Linked DNA regions of Xenopus tropicalis. The protein of the gene in region 2 interacts with the protein of the main gene of each other region in a pairwise test. Links are inferred from orthologs where the notes say so. Each region holds a gene or a part of one and is shown on either strand. Other genes may lie near its edges.

What was found.
Region 1: the proteins of il16 (region 2) and spred1 interact in binary tests that used the Homo sapiens proteins (3 or more experiments, as listed by UniProt). The link is inferred for Xenopus tropicalis from reciprocal best matches to the Homo sapiens genes IL16 and SPRED1.
Region 3: the proteins of il16 (region 2) and gabpb1 interact in binary tests that used the Homo sapiens proteins (3 or more experiments, as listed by UniProt). The two-hybrid records come from large-scale screens. The link is inferred for Xenopus tropicalis from reciprocal best matches to the Homo sapiens genes IL16 and GABPB1.
Region 4: the proteins of il16 (region 2) and tfip11 interact in binary tests that used the Homo sapiens proteins (3 or more experiments, as listed by UniProt). The two-hybrid records come from large-scale screens. The link is inferred for Xenopus tropicalis from reciprocal best matches to the Homo sapiens genes IL16 and TFIP11.

What each region holds. Positions count from the first base shown.
Region 1 is NC_030684.2:110,799,836-110,804,320, reverse strand, and holds part of spred1 (sprouty-related, EVH1 domain-containing protein 1), read left to right. Parts: intron 1-4,072; coding exon 4,073-4,241; intron 4,242-4,485. UniProt on the Homo sapiens protein: Tyrosine kinase substrate that inhibits growth-factor-mediated activation of MAP kinase. Negatively regulates hematopoiesis of bone marrow.
Region 2 is NC_030679.2:106,706,466-106,710,950, forward strand, and holds part of il16 (pro-interleukin-16), read right to left. Parts: intron 4,195-4,485; coding exon 4,068-4,194; intron 1,216-4,067; coding exon 192-1,215; intron 1-191. UniProt on the Homo sapiens protein: Interleukin-16 stimulates a migratory response in CD4+ lymphocytes, monocytes, and eosinophils. Primes CD4+ T-cells for IL-2 and IL-15 responsiveness. Also induces T-lymphocyte expression of interleukin 2 receptor. Ligand for CD4.
Region 3 is NC_030679.2:104,957,477-104,962,654, forward strand, and holds the start of gabpb1 (GA-binding protein subunit beta-1), read left to right. Parts: upstream 1-1,915; 5' UTR 1,916-2,046; intron 2,047-2,087; exon of another isoform or gene 2,088-3,147; intron 3,148-3,747; exon of another isoform or gene 3,748-4,069; intron 4,070-5,178.
Region 4 is NC_030680.2:15,115,106-15,119,590, forward strand, and holds part of tfip11 (tuftelin-interacting protein 11), read left to right. Parts: coding exon 1-42; intron 43-773; coding exon 774-880; intron 881-1,180; coding exon 1,181-1,349; intron 1,350-1,528; coding exon 1,529-1,772; intron 1,773-2,251; coding exon 2,252-2,394; intron 2,395-3,090; coding exon 3,091-3,256; intron 3,257-3,791; coding exon 3,792-4,144; 3' UTR 4,145-4,485. UniProt on the Homo sapiens protein: Involved in pre-mRNA splicing, specifically in spliceosome disassembly during late-stage splicing events. Intron turnover seems to proceed through reactions in two lariat-intron associated complexes termed Intron Large (IL) and Intron Small (IS).

The DNA.
Region 1 (4,485 bases), on a different chromosome or scaffold from region 2:
GGTGAAAAGAAGAAATAAATAGGGTTATTACTAATGTCCAGTCCTAGGGTTATGACTTATAATGTATTCATGAATGACCTTGAATTTGGTATTGAAAGCAGTGTATCAGCGTTCGCTGATGGCACAAAGTCATCTAAGGTAATAGGATCTGTACAGGATGCTCCTACTGGATACACAGAGTTGAGGGCTGTGCGCACTGTTGTATTTATGTGGGGTTAGCTTATAAGAGAGTTAAAGGAACAGTAATGCCAAGAAATAAAAATGTATCAAAGTAATTAAAATATAATGTACTGTTGCCCTGCACTTGCTACAGAAACCACTATAGTTTATATAATAAGCTGCTGTGTAGCCATGGGGGCAGCAATTTAAGCTGGAAAAAATGAGAAAAGGCACAGTTGACATAGCAGATAACAGATAAAACACCATGGTATTCTACAGAGCTTATCTGTTATCTATGTAACCTGTGCCTTTTCTCATTTTTCCAACTTAAGGTCCCCATACACGGGCCGACTATAGCTGCCGATATCGGTCCCTTGGACCGATTCGGCAGCTAATCGGCCCATGTATGGGCAGAACAGAGCTGCCTGGCCGACCGATATCTGGCCTGAAATTGGCCAGATCTTGATCGGCCAGGTTAGAAAATCCGGTCGGATCGGGGACCGCATCGGCTCGTTGATGCGGTCCCCGAACCGACTGCCCCATAAGCTCAAAAGTCCCTTGCTACCTGATATCGCCCACCCGTAGGTGGGGATATCGGGTGAAGATCCGCTCGCATGGCGACATCGCCAAGCGAGCGGATCTTATAGTGTATGGGCACCTTAAAATGGCTCCCCCCATTGAGTTTCTGAAAGAAACAGACCAGTGTTACCAGTGCAGGGCAGCAGTTCATTATATTTTAATTACTTTAAAACACATTTCTTTTTTGGTGTTACTGTTCCTTTAAGGGGAGTGAAATCTACAAGAAAGTGCGTTCTTTGTAACAATCTCTATTAATCCACTAATCTGCCTATCTTGAACAGTGACTGGGAAAGTAAAACAATCAGATGATTATTTTAATTGTCTAAGCCCAAATGTAATAAAGTGACAGGTAGTTTCTATTTATGTAGATGACAGGCAGCAAGGAGAGGCATTAGGGTTGATTCACTAAAGTGCGATAAAACGAGCGCTATTTATAGCTTTCTTTAAAAAGTTTATTGCGTCTTATTTTTCGCGTCTTAACGCACGATTCACTAAAAGGTTACTTGCGTTAATTTAGATGCAATGCTGTTTGCGTTATTTAAGTTGCGAAGACTATTATCGTGCGGTATTTGACGCAACGTGCGCTAATTAACGCAGCACGCTATTAGCCATACACACCATTACGTTCGGAAAACTACTGTTCTGAAAATGACCATTTCCCTGCAAACTGGCGGCTGCATCACTCTAGGGCCAACACAGACTTGAATAAATCCCACTGCAAAGTCCATATTGTGTTGCCAAAAGCTCATGAACTGTACTTTTCTATAATTACCTCCTGCCTCAAGTAGGTGTTAATTTGTGCACAGACTAATGCGATATTTAGCGCGTCTAAGTGTTTGTGAATCATGCGTTAGTATTATTTCTGCGCAAGAATTAACGCAATGCATTAAAATTAACACATTCGGCTGCACGCTATTTAACGCACGCGATATGCAACTTAATGCATGCGATAATACTTTAGCGAATCACGCGGGGGGGTTTTTTGCGGCAATTTTAGCGCAAAAAAGCATGTGATAACGTTTATCGCACTTTAGTCAATCAACCCTATTGGGTGTTATGGTGGCCGACGTTCTAAGGCCTATGGCAGATACTGCGTTTTTTGTCCACCAGCATAAAAGCTGGGCGAATCACTATCATACTGTACACGGGGCAGAATGAGAGCTGATCAACCTTATATGCTGTGTGTGCCCTAGGCCTACGGGGCAGATATGCTAAAGGTCCAATTTTTCACTTGCATCCAAATTTTTTCTTCCTGTTTTTTTCACACACCAAAATTTTATTTTCCCATAGGAAACCATTTTGACAAATAATAGTAAGTCTCACAAAGAAGTTAATACTTAAGCTGATGCAGCACAGGGCTGATTCTTGCCCTGCGGAAAAGCCTGCATCCAGATCCATTGTGTTGGCCCTAGTGCAGGCACACGTGGCAGATGTTGGCAAAGAAACTCAAGTGTTTGTATTCAGAGCCAATATCTATTGCACGTGCCTGCAATCGGGCAGATTCAGTGGTTCCAGTTGCAGGCAAAAACACCGCATGGCATCAGCCTTACTAAATCTGCCTCCTGACTCAGAGTGCAGATTTTTTTTAATCCCATTTGCAGAATGCGGTGCATATTTAGACAACAGCCATGAAGTGTGCTGATAGAAAATGTGGGTTGCCTGCTCAGTAAGTGTATTTTGAAATATCATTTAGTTTGCCAAGCCAGTGGCTCTCACTGTATGGCCATTTTACTATACACCTGTATAATAAGTGTAGTGTTGTGTGTTGGTCTCTAAGTGCTTTTGTTGTGCAAGTGTTCACGTGTCATCATGTGTATGTGCTCCTCTGATTGATTTGTTTCCCTTTAAGATACAGGTCCGTCTGTAAATCCCTAAAAACTCAAGAACCCTTGCACATTTTAGAAATTCTTCTGTTTCCTCTGTTCCCTCCTGAGACCCAGTGAGTGTGATGTGTATTTCATGTGGCCCACACTGCACAGACACACATTCCGCCATATTGTACCTTGTGTTCTGCATTCTTTCTCCAGCTGCTCACATCTGGTCTTTTTCCAAGCAGACTTCCTATGGGAAATGTAATCATAGCGATACACGAGGCCTGGACATAAAATGGGCTAGAATTCCAGGGGTGCACAATACTGTACAGGGAAGTGTTTGTGTTCTGACTCACACAACTAAGCAGTGCATTGTAGCATATGTGCAGGGTTGTTTTGTTTGTTGTAGTGCATATTTTCTAACACACCTTAAAGGCAAATTCTAGTTAAGCAGGCATGAAAATGTCAAAGCAAATTTATAAAACACCCTCAGTTAAGAGAACATTCATTTATTTTAGACATTTTTAGACAAGCATGAAGACAAATACAGAGTATTTGCCGTATATTAGCTATTTACTGGATGGTGGATGAAAATGCGGCCTGTGTAGTTAAGACCCGCATTATTTCATGAAGCATATAATTGTGTAAACCATAAACTGGCACAATACGTAGTGCTGACTCTCTGCATACATCTCAGCAAACATTACCCAACAAAGCTGAAACAGAAAGCAGTTTGTCAGGCATCCCTTTTGGGCCACCAGTATCCAGTCAGATTTCAACCTCCTGGCCAGTCAGCCCATACAGTATTTAATGGGGTGGGTCATTATCCATCTGTGGTTTTAGCTTCATAGTGATCATATCAAATATTCACTGGTTAAAACCCTCACTGAGGCTTATTCTATTGGATCATATTTTGGATAGGTCGAATTTGTCCATTAGTAGGTTTTACTAAAAATTACTCCCCCCCTCCGTTGTTAATGTGTAGTAGGGATGCCTGGCCTGCAGCAATGTGCAGCATTTCTTGGTAGCGTAGTATAAATTTTGCATAGACCCAGGCTACATATGGGGATGTACCAAATTTGCACCCTAATGTACATATTCCTGTCTCTCTGTGGCCCATGGCCCATCACAGCAAAGGTTCAGCCTTCAGATAAATAAATCTTAGAATCCTGATGGAATTTGTCTTTTTGTGTGATATCATCCCTGCAAAAATTGTCGCAGTCTGTTGTATAGTGTATAATAGATTCTGCTAAGATATAAATGATCCGTTAGCCATTGCAGCGCGTGAGCCATTGTTCCACATATGCTTCAGTGCTTCATTCCAGTTGGTCTGTGACATGGCAGCTGGGATTTGCTTTTTTCCCCCCTAATTATTTTTTTCCTGTAGTTCAAAGAATAAACTGTAAGAACATTCCAGATGTTCCTGGGTTGTGACCATGGTTATTACAGGGCCTGGGCAGGTTTAACACAAGTCAGATGTTTCCGTGTTGATTACAGGTCTGTGACATCTCTTCTTTCCACAGGTGGTCCTGGAATGTGTGCTCAGGAGGGATCTTGTCTACAATAAAGTTACCCCTACATTCCATCACTGGAGGATCGGAGACAAGAAGTTCGGCCTTACGTTCCAAAGTCCCGCCGATGCCCGAGCTTTTGATAGAGGAATACGTCGTGCCATTGAAGACCTGTCTCAAGGTACCATTGTACCTGAGGTAGAGGGGCTCCAGAGGGGATAAAATATGTGATGTGCAGCTTAGACTAAATGCAGCAGCATCATTTTAGTCACTGGCGGTTGCCCCTAGACAACTAGTTGTACGTGGAGTTTTATTTTCCATTGGTAGGCAATAAAATATGAAAATACAGGTTTTTATCGTCACATTTAACATTGTGCTGGCACATTTTTTTTATATTTGTGTTTGTATTCATGCTCGGAAGTGGG
Region 2 (4,485 bases):
TGTAAGCCAATTTCCCTTCATAAGGAGGCCGTAGTCTTCCTGCATTGCCATGGACTCTCTGATTCCCTGTATGGTAAAAACTGTATGTGGTGCAGTGGAATGCATGTGCCCCTTTGTTTGTTATAATGCTCTGCAAAATATGGAATTTGCTAATGTATTTAGGTATTTGCATTTACAGACTAGGCTCTTACTTCACAGAAAATCCACTGTCCAAATTATGGCTTTCAGTCTTTGGGCTGGATGGGACCTCATCCTCAGGGTGAGATTCATTCGGCCAGGGATCAGTGACTTGTAACTGCGGAGACTGAGGGAAGCACAGCAAGGACTTCATCAAAGCAGAGGAGACCTGGTTGCTGATGGAATAGATCTTGCTACAGTTTTCATTTATCTTCAGTGCATCAGAGGGTGTGGAGGCACTCAACGGGAAGCTCCTAGATCTTTGGCTCGGTGTCTTGTATGGAATCGGTTCATTGAACTCGGAAGAGAGAAACTGGGGTTCGTTACTAGTACTGCTGCTCCTTCGCATGCCCTGGAAACTGGATTTTTGTGGTGACTGAGACAGTTCTGGTTCTTCTTTTTCAGGAGACTTTGGAATAGCCACATGGGGCTGTATAACTTCAGGAACCTGAATTTCAGCTGTGCTCATGGTAACATTGTTCAAACAGACTGTTACACTTTCTACTTCTTGTTTGTTAAAGGGCTTGTCATTTGGTGCTGAAGATGTAACATTCCCCCTGTCGCTTATTTTCCCAGCTGGCGATGGTGTGCTAAATGTTTCAAAGGAATTTATCTTTTGTTTAATTGATGATGTTCGACTTGAAGTTTGTGGTTTAATGTTGTTTTGAATCTCTTTGTATTTAGCTAGAGATGTGCTCTCAGTTGGCTTTTTATCTACATTCTTATACCCCTTCAGACTCTGCCGATACCAGGCTGGCTTGGGAGCAACTGGTGGACCCTTTTTGAAGGTATCCTGAGGGCTGCACATCTGAGAGTCCTCACATGGAGAATCTCTTCTGAGTCTCTCTGTATTGCCACCTGCTGCACTGATACTACTTTCTAGATCCATTAGGTTGTGGCCTTCGTTTATGAGGGGACTGAACAAGTTTTTGATGCAGTCAGAAATTCTGACCCACGGATCTTCACTTGTTGTGTCAAAGCTGTAGTCAACACGTGCTTGTCTTCTTAGCAGCGGTCGGTGGTTTGATACAGGATTTCCTACGGAACACAAAGGACAATAGATTTATTATAATTACATCTGTCTACCTAATCTCCTGGGGATCTGGATAGGGCCATTAATGTTTGAAACAACAGCTATGCTTTGCTTTAGCCAATAATGTGCTGCTGTAATAAGTTCTGTACACTGTGTTATCTCCCCAATCAGTGCTAACTTGTATGCACTTAATAGGCAGTGTTTGTTGTTCTCAAAACATTTTCTGTAAATGTAATTTTAAGCACACTCCATGTCACCATCCTTGGGACAAGCTTGTACGTGTTTCTAAAAAATTGTGGCTTGGGTTTCTATAGGTTGGCCATTAACCATATGAGCCAGAGGAAGATTTGTAGCATTCACAAATCCTAAGGCAGTGCTGTCCAACTTAGTACATGTCATGGGCCAGTTATACCTCATACAGCATGGTGGGGGGCCAGATATATTTAAAATGTCCTATGGAGACTCTGAGCAGACTCCAAATCTTTTGGGTGCCACAGGCCTCCAATTGGACATCCCCATGTAATAGGATTGGGTTAATATGCTGAAATTAAGACATGAAATAGCTTGTAAATGGTTGGTGATTTCAGTCAAGTTCAGCCATTTCTCTGTAGGGCATATGCATTATGTTAGGTGCAAAATTGCAAAAACCCTATCATGCAGTTGTTTGCATTTAATCTTAATCAAAAGGGATTCTGGGAATTTGTTCCCAGAATCCTTTTTGTCTATTTGCTTATGTATGAGGCGGTCTCCTAAACCCCTTTGACTTGTCATTTAATCTTATAAATGAATACCAAGCAGTTTAGGTAAACCATACAGAATGCTAGGGGCAGTTGGAACATTTTGCATTTCTTTGGTATATAAGGGCCAAACTGTCCTCCAATAAATGAACTATTTTTCCATTCCGAAAATGCAGACAAAGCCTGGAATATCACGGGCCCACAGTCTGTATTTTAATTTGAATCCCATGCTAAAATCTTACTAATGTGATTAAATGTTAAGTTTTACATTTATCATCCCTATATGTATTATGAGAAGTTCTGTAATTGGTGCGGCCAAAAACACAGCTTTAGTCAACTGGGGTTTGGACTGCTACATAGGGTTCCATATTACCTATAGTATATTGTTTCAAACTGCATACACCCTCGATTTCCTTAGTAAAACTTTTTCCTGCATCTAAAACTCTTCCATTTATTCAGTCAGTAACGGCTATAGCTAATATTAAAAGGTAATTACAATTTGTTACAGGGTTTGTAAGACACCTTCATCTCTTTGCCTGTGCCAACATTGGTGGCCAAATTAGGTAAAGATCTGCTCATTTGGTCACCTTTCTAAACAAGCGGATCTTACCATATATAGACAACCTCATTTACTTACTAACATAGGAAGTCAATAACACCAGTGCAGTTACCCATAGTAACCTATTAAATCTTTGCTTTCATTTTATAGCTTGTAGCAAAGAGATCAAAACTAGACACTGATTGTTTCTATAGGTAACTGCATTAGCGCAGTTTATGACCTTTCTTGGTATTCTGCATGAGAGGGCTTAAGCTCCAATCTTAACTCTCACTGTGTTGGCTGACTTTACTAATCACTTTCTTATTGGCTGTTTGTAGGCTTGCAGGAGCTGCATTAATGCAACCTTACACCAATTGTTATACCCCACTGCATAGAAACAGATTGCATTGTAAATCAAGGCACCTAATGCAAAATGTGGGACTTGCCTCCTCCGTGCCACTCGAAAATTTCTAATCATCACCACTTTTATAATCTCACCCTCTCCTGTCTACCCATAAACCCCCATGGCCAACATATGGGATTACATATTGTTTCACTTATGCTGTTCTTTGCCCTTTCATACTTATTGATGAAATTTGCTCATGGGAAGAGTGGTCATGACATTTAAATCTCTGTAGTGATGCCCCTGAAAGCAGAAAGGAAATCTTTTATGCAGACCTAGTTAATACCCCTTCATAGTTCTTAAAAAAATCCATAAATGATTTGGGGAGAAATGCAAAGTTTTTGCAAACCAAACAGAAGTGTAACAACAAAGGAAGCAGACAGTGACCCTGCAGTTGCAGGGGGTCCCAGGAGCATAGAGGGCCCAGTAAGGCCCTAATTAAAGAGCAATTCCAATATCGGTATATCTTGGTACATTAGGCCAAGTTTTGGGGCCCCAAACTGAATTTAATGTTGGGCCCCAGAAACATCTAGATATGCCACTGGCTCCTAAAAACATGAACTAGTACAAGTACAATTAATTGAAACTATTTAGAAAAGAATGTGAATCATTTGATTGGCTTTTTATTTTTTTTTTCTTTTAAAGTACTACATGGATCCATTAACATGTAAATGTATTACATGTGCATTTAATCTCTATTAAATAGACAGAAATATGCATGTGACTTATTGTGGGTGCAAAGCAGAACATTCATTCTCTATATAGTGACATTTATACGAGTTAAGTAGGTTTCCTAATGCATATGTATCCCGGTTTAATAGCTTTTTTCTCACTCCTTGGTTGAGGGTGACATCTTTTTTATGCATTTAGTGGGCAAATGGTTCAGTTTATGTATGCAGAGCTCTCTGGTGCACAGTGGGTTAATGAAGCATGCATAATGGTAGCTCCCAACCTTTGGCTGTCAGTGGAATTCTGTAAGCTGCAGTTTCACTTGCAGGCTGTACATCTCTGATTTATATAATGAACATATCTAAAACAAAGTTTAAAAAAAAATGTCATTATTTCCTTTTATTTCTTCATCCTTTCCCCTGTTATGGGAAGGCAATTGCCCTTTCTTTCCTACACTAAACCCAGTGCTGAGTTCTGGACAGCTTTCACAAAGGACTCCCAAAGACATACCTGTGTCGGAGTGCTTATCTGGCTCTGCAGCACTTGTGTATGAGCACTCGCTGGTCGATGAAGATGTGTCTAATATGCTCTCGCCTGTAATTTGCTGGTTTCCCTTTAGCTGTAAGTTTCCTGTTTCCTGTGAAACAATGCAGACATGTCAAAAACTGCAACATTCTAAAACCCACAAAACTCTCAGAGGATACTGTAATGTTTGGCCAAGCATTCTCACAATATGTAGCCAACCTTTGCAAACCCAGATTATCCATTGACTACAAGCTGCTGGCGCTAATCTGCTTGTTTTAAAAGTTCACCAAACAAACTGATCTGTGGCTGGTTTGGCTACCCAGATTGTGGGTTGAATTGGGCTGATCTAATTATTTGGCCCCTGGGTCAATGACCAACTCATAATTGGAGCCCATTGAGACAT
Region 3 (5,178 bases), about 1.7 Mb from region 2:
CCTAGGCCCGGGCATTTGTGGCCCCTCCACAAATCTAGGTCTGTGTATGGGACAAATGTATTTACTGGAATTAAGCCTCCCCAAGATTACAGCATGTTGCAGAACCAAGGACCTCTGGAATAGGTTGTCAGCTTCTTTTACAGAATGCAGTGCAAAGGGTGATACAGGGAACTACCAGAAATCTATGGACACTGTCAGGGTTACGGCTGCCATATCTGCTGGCTTTTTTCTCCAGGCAGTGGGCGGGTGGTGATGTCACGGGGTGGAAAATACGTGGGGCAGTGACATCACAAGGCAGGGTTATGATGCAGCGGTCGGCAATCTCAGGGAGTCCTGCACAGTTTTCCTAATTTGGAAAATGGGGCAGGGGATTTTGAAAGGGACAAGCCGTTCTGAAAACTGGGCTTGTCTGGGTCAAAACCAGACAGGTAGCAACCCTACTCGGGGTCAGTCTGGGCCAACGGGATGCCGGGAAAAAACACCTGCCACCCTGACCCAATCCCCGCTGGGTGCAACCCTCCCCTGACGCTCTGAAGGTAAGTTTAATTTAGGCAAGCTCAGGGGAAACGGTCAGGTTGACGGCCCTGCGGGGGGCTGTGGATGCCACGGTGGTGGCACCTTCAGGGGTGCTTCTCAGATGCCTGTGTCAGTTACTGAGCACCCAAAGTACCATGGACTCTTAACTAAACTTTATGTAATAGCATTACAAGCTCTCATTCTCTGTAAAGTGCTGCAGAACCTGTAAGCTAAGGTAATGATCATGTGAAAAAAAAATCAAGAAAATTCAGCAAAAAGAGCATTAACGTGCAGCCCTGCAACATGCATTTCTTAAAGGAAAAAGAAAGGTAAAGTCACTTGGGGGTGCCAAAATGTTAGGCACCCCCAAGTGACTTTAACCGCCTACCTTTTACCCCGGGCTGGTGCCCCTGTTAGGAGAAAATAGCACCAGCCCGGGGTACCTGGAGTGCAGCACTTCCTCCTTCCGCCTTCCACTTCCTAAACTGCCGGTGGCCGGGCATGCACAGTAGAGCGAAAAAGCCGACTTAAATGTTTAAGTTCGGCTTTTCACTCTACTGCGCATGCGCGCGCAGCGAAGCCGGAAGGAGGAAGCGCCGGCAGCTACCCCGGGCTGGTGCTATTTTCTCCTAACAGGGGCACCAGCCCGGGGTACAAGGTAAGCGGTTAAAGTCACTTGGGGGTGCCTAACATTTTGGCACCCCCAAGTGACTTTGCCTTTCCTTCCCCTTTAAGTGCCCTTAAATTTTTTTTTTGCGATGGAGCAGCATTAAATGATGTGCCAAAAGATAGTGAATAGGTATCGCATGAACCGTCTTTACTTATTGCACAGGCTCTATTTATATCGTTCAAGTTTGAGCCACACATCTTTCTACCGTACAGCACTGGGGGAGATGTATACAAGTGAGAATTGCTGCCTAGTTAATACATGCTGAGCAATAAAACAAAAAAAAAAACAATTGAAACGTAGCATCTGGTGTTTGTGTAAACGCATTCAGTTAAACGAGCAAAACAAAAAAGTCGGAAAGCCACAAACAACCGTGCCACTTGGCACACAGAATGCTAATAACGGAACCGGCAGCTTATTCCGGAGACAACCCACAGTTCCACAAAACGCCACTAGTTCGATTCCATTCCACGCATGCGCTACTTCGCTGCGTCCTCGCCTCGTCTTGTGTATCCCTCCGCCAGAACCTACTTTCCTTCCTGTAACCAGCAAAATGATTATAAACAAATATGTTTAATAAACTGAGAATACAGTTCAATCAGAGTAACATTTAGGCATTAAAATAACTTATTTACAATTAAACACAACGGCATAGTCAGTCGCGCCACCTTCCCTAACATGAAATCAAGGCAATGCGCGCACACAAAATATAGTGCACCTCCGCGCTAAACGCGGGGACTTTTGTGCGGGGATTTTCGGCGCCGATGAGAAGGCGATTGAAGTAAAACCGGCTTGGTTTGAAAGGAAAGCTCCCCAGCAGAGGAGAGCAGGGCAGCCGAGACGGTACCAATACGACGGGCACGGTAAGCTTAGGCAGCGCTGGGAGACGTTTCTGTCAGGTTACCGAATCTTTTCCAGGTCAGTCTTGGGTGTCGGGCCCTACCGGATGTGGAAGTTGATCTCTTCTGTGGTAAAAAATAATTCAACTTCCCCCGGAACCCAGATCATCCGAACGATTTCCTGTTTATTGCGTTAAAGCCGGCGGGTTTCCGGGGATCCGGGGCTGTGCCAGGGGCTTCCCGGGTTCTGGGGGTTCTAGAAGCGAAGGGAACTGTAAAGGCGGGAAGGGCTGATGCCTGGCTATGCACAGGCGCTTCAGAAGGCCGCGGTTCCGAGAGGCGGGAAATGTAACCCGCCAAGCATTTCTCTGACTAAAGGACATATTTTGCTTATTACTAATAAATTGTGTTGTTGCTCGTTGACATGTTATTAATGAGGTCTGAAGTATTTTGTTCCCTCGCACATCGGCCTGGGATTGTGCTCGCAGCGCTTTACACGAGGCTCAGGCTGGCCAACGGGGGTTTTATTCTTATATTTGTGCAGTCTGCATCCTTTACTTGCTGCTATACTACATCTCCCGGCACACACAGCGACAGCAAATCATAGATTAGAAAGTAAGCTGCAGGCTTGCAGAAATAATTACATTCATGCACTAATATGTCCTCCGCGGGTGGCACTTACAGTGGGGAGCTGCTCATTGGCGGGCATGTTTGGTTTGGAATCAGTTTAAGGCCTAGGCTATACACATGCTTAATAACCCTAGAAACATGCCACGCTTGCTTTATTATTCATTCAAAGTTCTTGTCACTGAACATGTTATGCGCATTTTGTACGTGTAATGTCACCCAGTTTTATTCCAGCGTTCTGTTCTTTTATTAAATGACACCACTATTGCCACTGTCAAGATGATCGGTTTTGCAGTATTGTTAAGCAGGAGCTGCGAGTTTGGAGCTTCTATGTGATTGCAGAGCTGTCCTTAGGGACTGTGCCAGCAGGGGGCGCTGCATGAGGAGCCTCACAGGCATCTGTATGCAAGGAACATGTATAGAAGTTTTATACTGGAACTATCATTAAGCTTGCCTTTGTAAGCAGTAGGGATGATAGGCATAGCCGCTAGAATAGTTAGGGGGGAAAGCAACAGTCAGCAGGAATGTCTCACTCTGAGCTTAACTCATTTTTTTTTAACTACAGGACCATGGTTTTAGCTCAGCAACTGCTAAAAGACTTCATTTGTGATAGTCTTGCTTTATATAAATAGTGGGGCTCTGAGTACCGCCACAACCAAGGATATTCTGGTGAGCTATGGGTCTCTTCCACCAATTGCTGTTTGTCCCTGGCAAAGTTTAGCTGCCTAAGTTCAGAAATAGGAGGCACTGCTTTGCACCATATTGACCTGTTCATTACATCACTGGCAGCATTTCTTGAATTGTCAGTCGCATCTGGGTTTGCACCCCTTAGAGCAGGGGTCCCCAACCTTTCTACTCGAGAGCCACAGTCAAATGTAAAAAGACTTGGAGAGCAACACAAGCATCATAAAAGTAAATTGAGGCGCCAAATAAGGGCTAAGATTGGCTATTAGGCAGCCTCTATGTACACTATCAGCTTACAGGGGACTTTATTTTGTAGTAAATCTTGTTTATATTTAACCTAAACTTGTCACCAAGTCAGGAATTCAAAAATAACTACCTGGTTTGGGGGCACTGAGAGCAACATCCAAGGGGTTGGTGAGCAACATGTTGCCAACATGTGAGCCACTGGTTGGGGATTACTGCCTTAGAGTTAATTTATATTCTGCTGTTTACTAAATAGTGCAACTGGAGAGGGCCCTTTTATCTATCTATTTGTATGTGTTCCTTATTTAATACTTCTATGTGTAGTTACCACTTTATAATTGCACTAGAGTAGTAATGCAGGAAAGCTGGAAAATCTGCTTTTATAAATGTCTGTCTGGAATCTCTGTAAAACATCTGAGCTTTTATCAGCGAAGAAGGAAGTTTGTAAGCCACATGTCAGAAAAAAACTGATTTACTCAGCAGTTCTCAAAAGGTAAAGTTTTAGAGGCTTAGATATCTTGGCATGCAGACCACGTGATGTGGATGTTTATTCTAAGTGGCATTGTAAATGTATGTTCAGTGCAATAAATACTGTGACTGACAGTGCTTCAGCTCTGAATTTTCTATGTTCAGAATATTTATACAAAGTATAGTAATGTTTCTAAAGCAAACGCATACCCATATTACGGTTATCCCCCTCCCCATTGAAAATGCATAAAACCCCTTTGTTACTGGCAGCGTTGGGCTGAGCTCAGAGTGTGGTTGGTGTATGGCTATCACACTTCAAATAAATGGGCCTGCTGGGTTGATGTCTCTATTTATCAGAACAGGCCTTTTATTGTAGATTTAAAAATTTTTTTTTTTTTTTTTTTAAGCAGAAGTCCTGGCTTTGTTTGCATTGAGTTTGCTATTATCTCTGATATGTTCAGCTGTGTTTTATATGTTATGTAAATAAAGCTCCACCTGGTCTGTTGTTTTTAATAAAACTTTATATACTACATTTTCATTATCACTAGAGATGCACCAAATTCACTATTTTTCGGTTTAGCCAAACCCTGAATCCTTAGTAAAAGATTCAGCTAAATACTGAGCTGAATCTTAATTTGTATATGTCAGTTTGGCTACTGAAGGTTTAAATAGCAGTTAAATAGAAAATCTTGTAACTTCCTTGTTCACTTGACCAAAAGTTATGTGATTTTAACGATTCAGATTCAGTTTGGCCAGGCACTTGGATCTGAATCCCGCCGAAAAAGGGAGAATCTTGGTCAAATCGCCAACTTAATACTAGATTTGGTGCATCCCCAAGCTTCAAATTCAACACATAATACTATAAAAAAAACCACTGTAAAAATACAGCAACATGTACAGTACTGTATATACAAATAGATCCATATAACTAAAGTTACACATACATGCAAACACAAGTCCATACATTTTTCCCTCTGTAGAAATATCTACAGTGACCTCTGGTGGTAATTTTATTCAACTATCCATTTTTATTTTGTTGCTGTTGGACGATTTCTTCTCATCAGCCATAGTTTTAAAAAGTCATGTTTGAGCCACATGTTTAAATATATTGCAGGGGGTTGGCATTACTGGTCT
Region 4 (4,485 bases), on a different chromosome or scaffold from region 2:
CCACTGATGAAAGATTATTTCAAAGACTGGAACCCACTTAGGGTAAGTTATAAAGGTCTTACACAACTCACCTGCTTTGTTAGAATTACCCAAGGAGAACGGTTACACTGTGTCCCTTTGACATACCTGTAAATACCACTTCCATTTTACAAAATTTGACAGGTTGTGTAAAGTTTAAACATATTTCTGGGGGGGGTTTGGGGGTCTTGTTTTATGTAACTACAGTTTTGCTAATAAAGGTGAAATTGCCCCTTAAGCTGCAAGTCTCAGTTCCCCCAAAAGACCTTTTTAGCTTCTTAGTTACAATTGTATTTCAGTGCATGGGGTGAGTATTCTGGGCTCTGCCAAAAGCTACTTTTCTAATTTAGTTTAAGAAACTGTATCTTTTTTGGTGTTCGGTGCAGGAGATCAAAGGGAAATGAGGGACTTTTCAATAAGAATCCGAGACTGTGGGCTGAGCTGTTAAAATCGGCACTTTCCCTTGAAAATCGGGACAGGTGGGAGGTATGCTTTGAGGAGTTTTTGGGTCGGGATTCAGGATAAGTGTCAATTCGCTTAAGGGGGCAGTAAAAACTGGGAAGTTCCTCCCCTATTGTGCCTATTATATGACATATAGCACAGCAGGAGATGGTGTGTTGATGGGCTGCTGACACTTAAGGGGCTGGGGCATTACTGATGTTATTCCAAAGCAAGATCATCCTATTACCTTTAACATATGTGCCCTGGGCCTATCCTTGCCCCAGTTTCTAATTGCTCTCTCTCTTCCTGCCTAGGATCCTACTTATGGGACTGATGTCATGAGTAAGTGGAAGAACCTTCTAGAGGAAGGTCACCTCCTATCTCACAGTGCACATGATGCATCTATGGACCCATACCACAGGTACCAATTACTCCCCTAGCCCTTTAGTTAAGTATTAGGTGGGCATAAACTATGTGTAAATCATCCTCCCAATGAAAATGTACCAAATAAATCACCCCCTTCCTTTCATAAATATCAGTTTCCTTGTTTACCTGGCGTTGGGTTGTGATGCTTTCCGAAGCTGCCCATAAATAAAGCACCCCCCGGTCACTAAGGGGTTAACTAGAGCAAATGTGGAGACAAAATGCAATTGATTTTTTGTGGATCATAAACTTTTAATGTGTTGTTTAAACCTCAGTGTTATTCTCTGTTCCAATGCAGATTGCTGTGGGAGACGTGGGTTCCCCTGTTGAGGAGTATCATTGCCCAATGGCAGCCCAGAAACTGCGCTCCCATGGTGGACTTTTTAGACTGCTGGGTCCATTTGCTGCCAGTCTGGATCCTGGATAACATACTAGATCAGCTTATTTTCCCCAAATTACAAAAAGAGGTAAGTAAGTTCCTTTGTTATCACTTATATGTGTGAGCAAACATTATTATGTCGTGGGCCACAGTATTCTCAGCATCTGGGCTTAGTACAAGAGAATGAGAGTGCTGTATTAGTCAGAGCTGGGCCAAGGCACCCATGGTTTTATATATTAATGTCATTCTTTACATTTCTGCATTAAGGTTGAGAACTGGAACCCCCTGACAGACACCGTCCCAATCCACTCGTGGATTCACCCCTGGCTTCCTTTGATGCAGTCGCGGCTAGAGCCACTCTTCTCTCCCATTCGGAATAAACTTGCCAACGCCCTCCAGAAATGGCACCCCAGCGATTCCTCTGCCAAGCTGATCCTGCAGCCCTGGAAGGAGGTGTTTACGCCAGGCTCTTGGGAAGCCTTCATGGTGAAGAACATTTTGCCAAAGCTAGGTGCGCTGGCGCTAATAAGAACATCTGTGTGTTTATCCACAATTTCATTTATTTACATTTCATAACAGGAATATCCAGTCCTATCTGTTCGTATATCCTGCTCTTTCTACAGTTTCAAGCTGAACTATGCTACTAATTTAGCCAATAAAAATAAATATTTGGGATTTATGTAGTAATATAGGTAAAGCTTCCCCCAATCAGTATTCTATAGCAATTAATCAGATGTTTGCTTTCATTATTCTGATTGCACTATATAAGTTAAAGCTGCCATCTTGTTCCTATGGGCTATTGGCTCAGATACAAATTACTGCTCCAAATGAGCGACCCATGATAAAAGTAAAGTGGCCACAAACCAGCTGACTTTTGGGGTATCCAAGGATTTCTCCCAAGCAATGTGCATTCCCTCTCCTGCTAAAATGGGGGTTCAGTTGCTCATCTCATGTACAGACCTCCAGTGACTCTTCTCTCTCCCCCTGTAGGCATGTGTCTCAGTGAGTTTGTTATTAATCCGCACCAACAGCACATGGAAGTCTTCCACTGGGTCACTGACTGGGAGGGGATGGTCTCTTTGTCCAGCATCGTAGGGATCCTGGAGAAACATTTCTTCCCCAAGTGGCTGCAGGTAACTATATTGTTGGAAACCATAATGGCTTTGCATTGAATTTGAATTTGGAATGTTTTACTATAAGAATCATTATTGTTTCCCCAAGTAGAAGTAGTCTGTGTTTGTGCACAGCTACAGGAAGAATGATATGCCCTGTTATAATAAAACCATAAAAGATAAATAAACCTTTAAAATAAATGAATGTAAAATTGCTGAGATTGCTATTCTAAGCACCTTTGCTGTTTTCATGTATTATTTTTTTATTCTTAAGATATTAAAGAACAAAGTACTGTTGACATTGTTTTACAACGGTGAATTGTGTTACAACAGTGCCATCTGCTGGTCAGTGTCCGTCCATGATGACGATGTTGTCAGGAGAAAGAAAGAGGGCTGATCTGATGCTCTTCTGGTTAGGGAAACATTAGAAACCTCAGATAACTTTTTCTCATCTGAATGTAAATTGCAAAAGTGCTTAGAATAGCACCCCTATCAATTTTACATTCACTTATTTTTAAGGTTTACTTATCCTAAAATAAGCCTTTCTGCAGTGTTTGTGGTTGGTAATAGGCTTCTCAAAAGCAGAGTTAAAAGAAAATGGCTCCTGTCAGCACACAGTAATAAAGCAGTAACTCCATGTATTAGGAAATGCGAGTGTTGCAGCTGTGAGGATAGATAAATACAGTGTTTCCTTATTGCCCTTCTGCTTCTTCTTAGGTTCTGTGCTCCTGGCTCAGTAATAACCCCAATTATGAAGAGATCACCAAGTGGTATCTCGGCTGGAAGTCCATGTTCTCAGACCTGGTGTTGGCTCACCCGGCCATCAAGGACAAATTTAATGAGGCTCTGGATATCATGAACCGGGCTGTGTCCTCTAGTGTCGGTAAGTAAATATATATTCTCCTATTCATATCTGCTCCTGTTTAGTAGGCTTCTGGTGGGCAAAAAACGGATCTGCCACTGTGTCAGTGAAGGGACGAGATAATAGGGGATTAATCTAATGTTATGTGAAGGATAAAGCAGTGATAGAAGAGCTGACATTATTTCATAGCTCTTCTCCCAATGCATCAGACTCTAACATTATTTCTTTGAGGGATTGAGGCTGTAGAAGAAGAGCTGATGGTCTTTCTTTGAGGGGTTAAGTGGGAGAAGAGCTGACTGTATTTCTTTGAGGGGTTGAGGCAATGGAAGAAAAGCTGAGAGGGCCTATTATTATATCCATAGAAGACCAATTCGATACCACTATGAATAGACTAAACAAACTTGCAGTGAGACTAGAATAGATGCTGTATGATTATATGAGTATAACAGTGCATTTGGATTACGGTTTGATGAGCAATGTTTGGGTGCAGTGGGTGCCGTGCCTTATGTTCTTTATTCAGTACATGACCCAACTGTCTCTTACTTGCCTGTTCCAGGTGCCTACATGCAGCCGGGGGCACGGGAGAGCATCGCCTACCTCACGCAGACCGAGAGAAGGAAGGACTTCCAGTACGAGGCTATGCAGGAGCGGCGAGACGCGGAGAGCATTGCTCAGAGAGGAATAGGGGCTGCAGCGGCTGTGCCCATGAACTTCAAGGACCTGATCCAGTCCAAGGCCGAGGAGCACAACATCGTATTTATGCCTCTAATTGGCAAGCGTCATGAGGGGAAACAACTTTACAACTTCAACCGCATTGTGATCTATATAGACAGAGGCGTTGTGTTCGTACAGGGAGAGAAAACGTGGGTGCCCACTTCCCTGCAGAGCCTTATTGACATGGCCAAGTAGACTTCTAGTCATACGGCAACTGTCAGCCACCCCTGGACTCTGTATATACCTGTATCTAATGGATTTGATAGTGTTCGAATACATTGATGGGTAGCTGATAGCACTTCCTATGTGACCTACTGGCTTCTTGTTTCCGAGGGCTTAATCCAATGAATAGAGACTGACCTGCAATTATTTTTGTATTTAATAAATCCACATTGCCCTTGTGTACCCAGGGGTCTAACCGCATCCCAGGATCTTTGTTATGCGGGCCTAGGTACCCATCATTGTACAAGAGTAGTGATGGGGGAGCACCCACATACACCTTGCACCCTATTAGTAGCCATGTTTTCTGTTCCTCT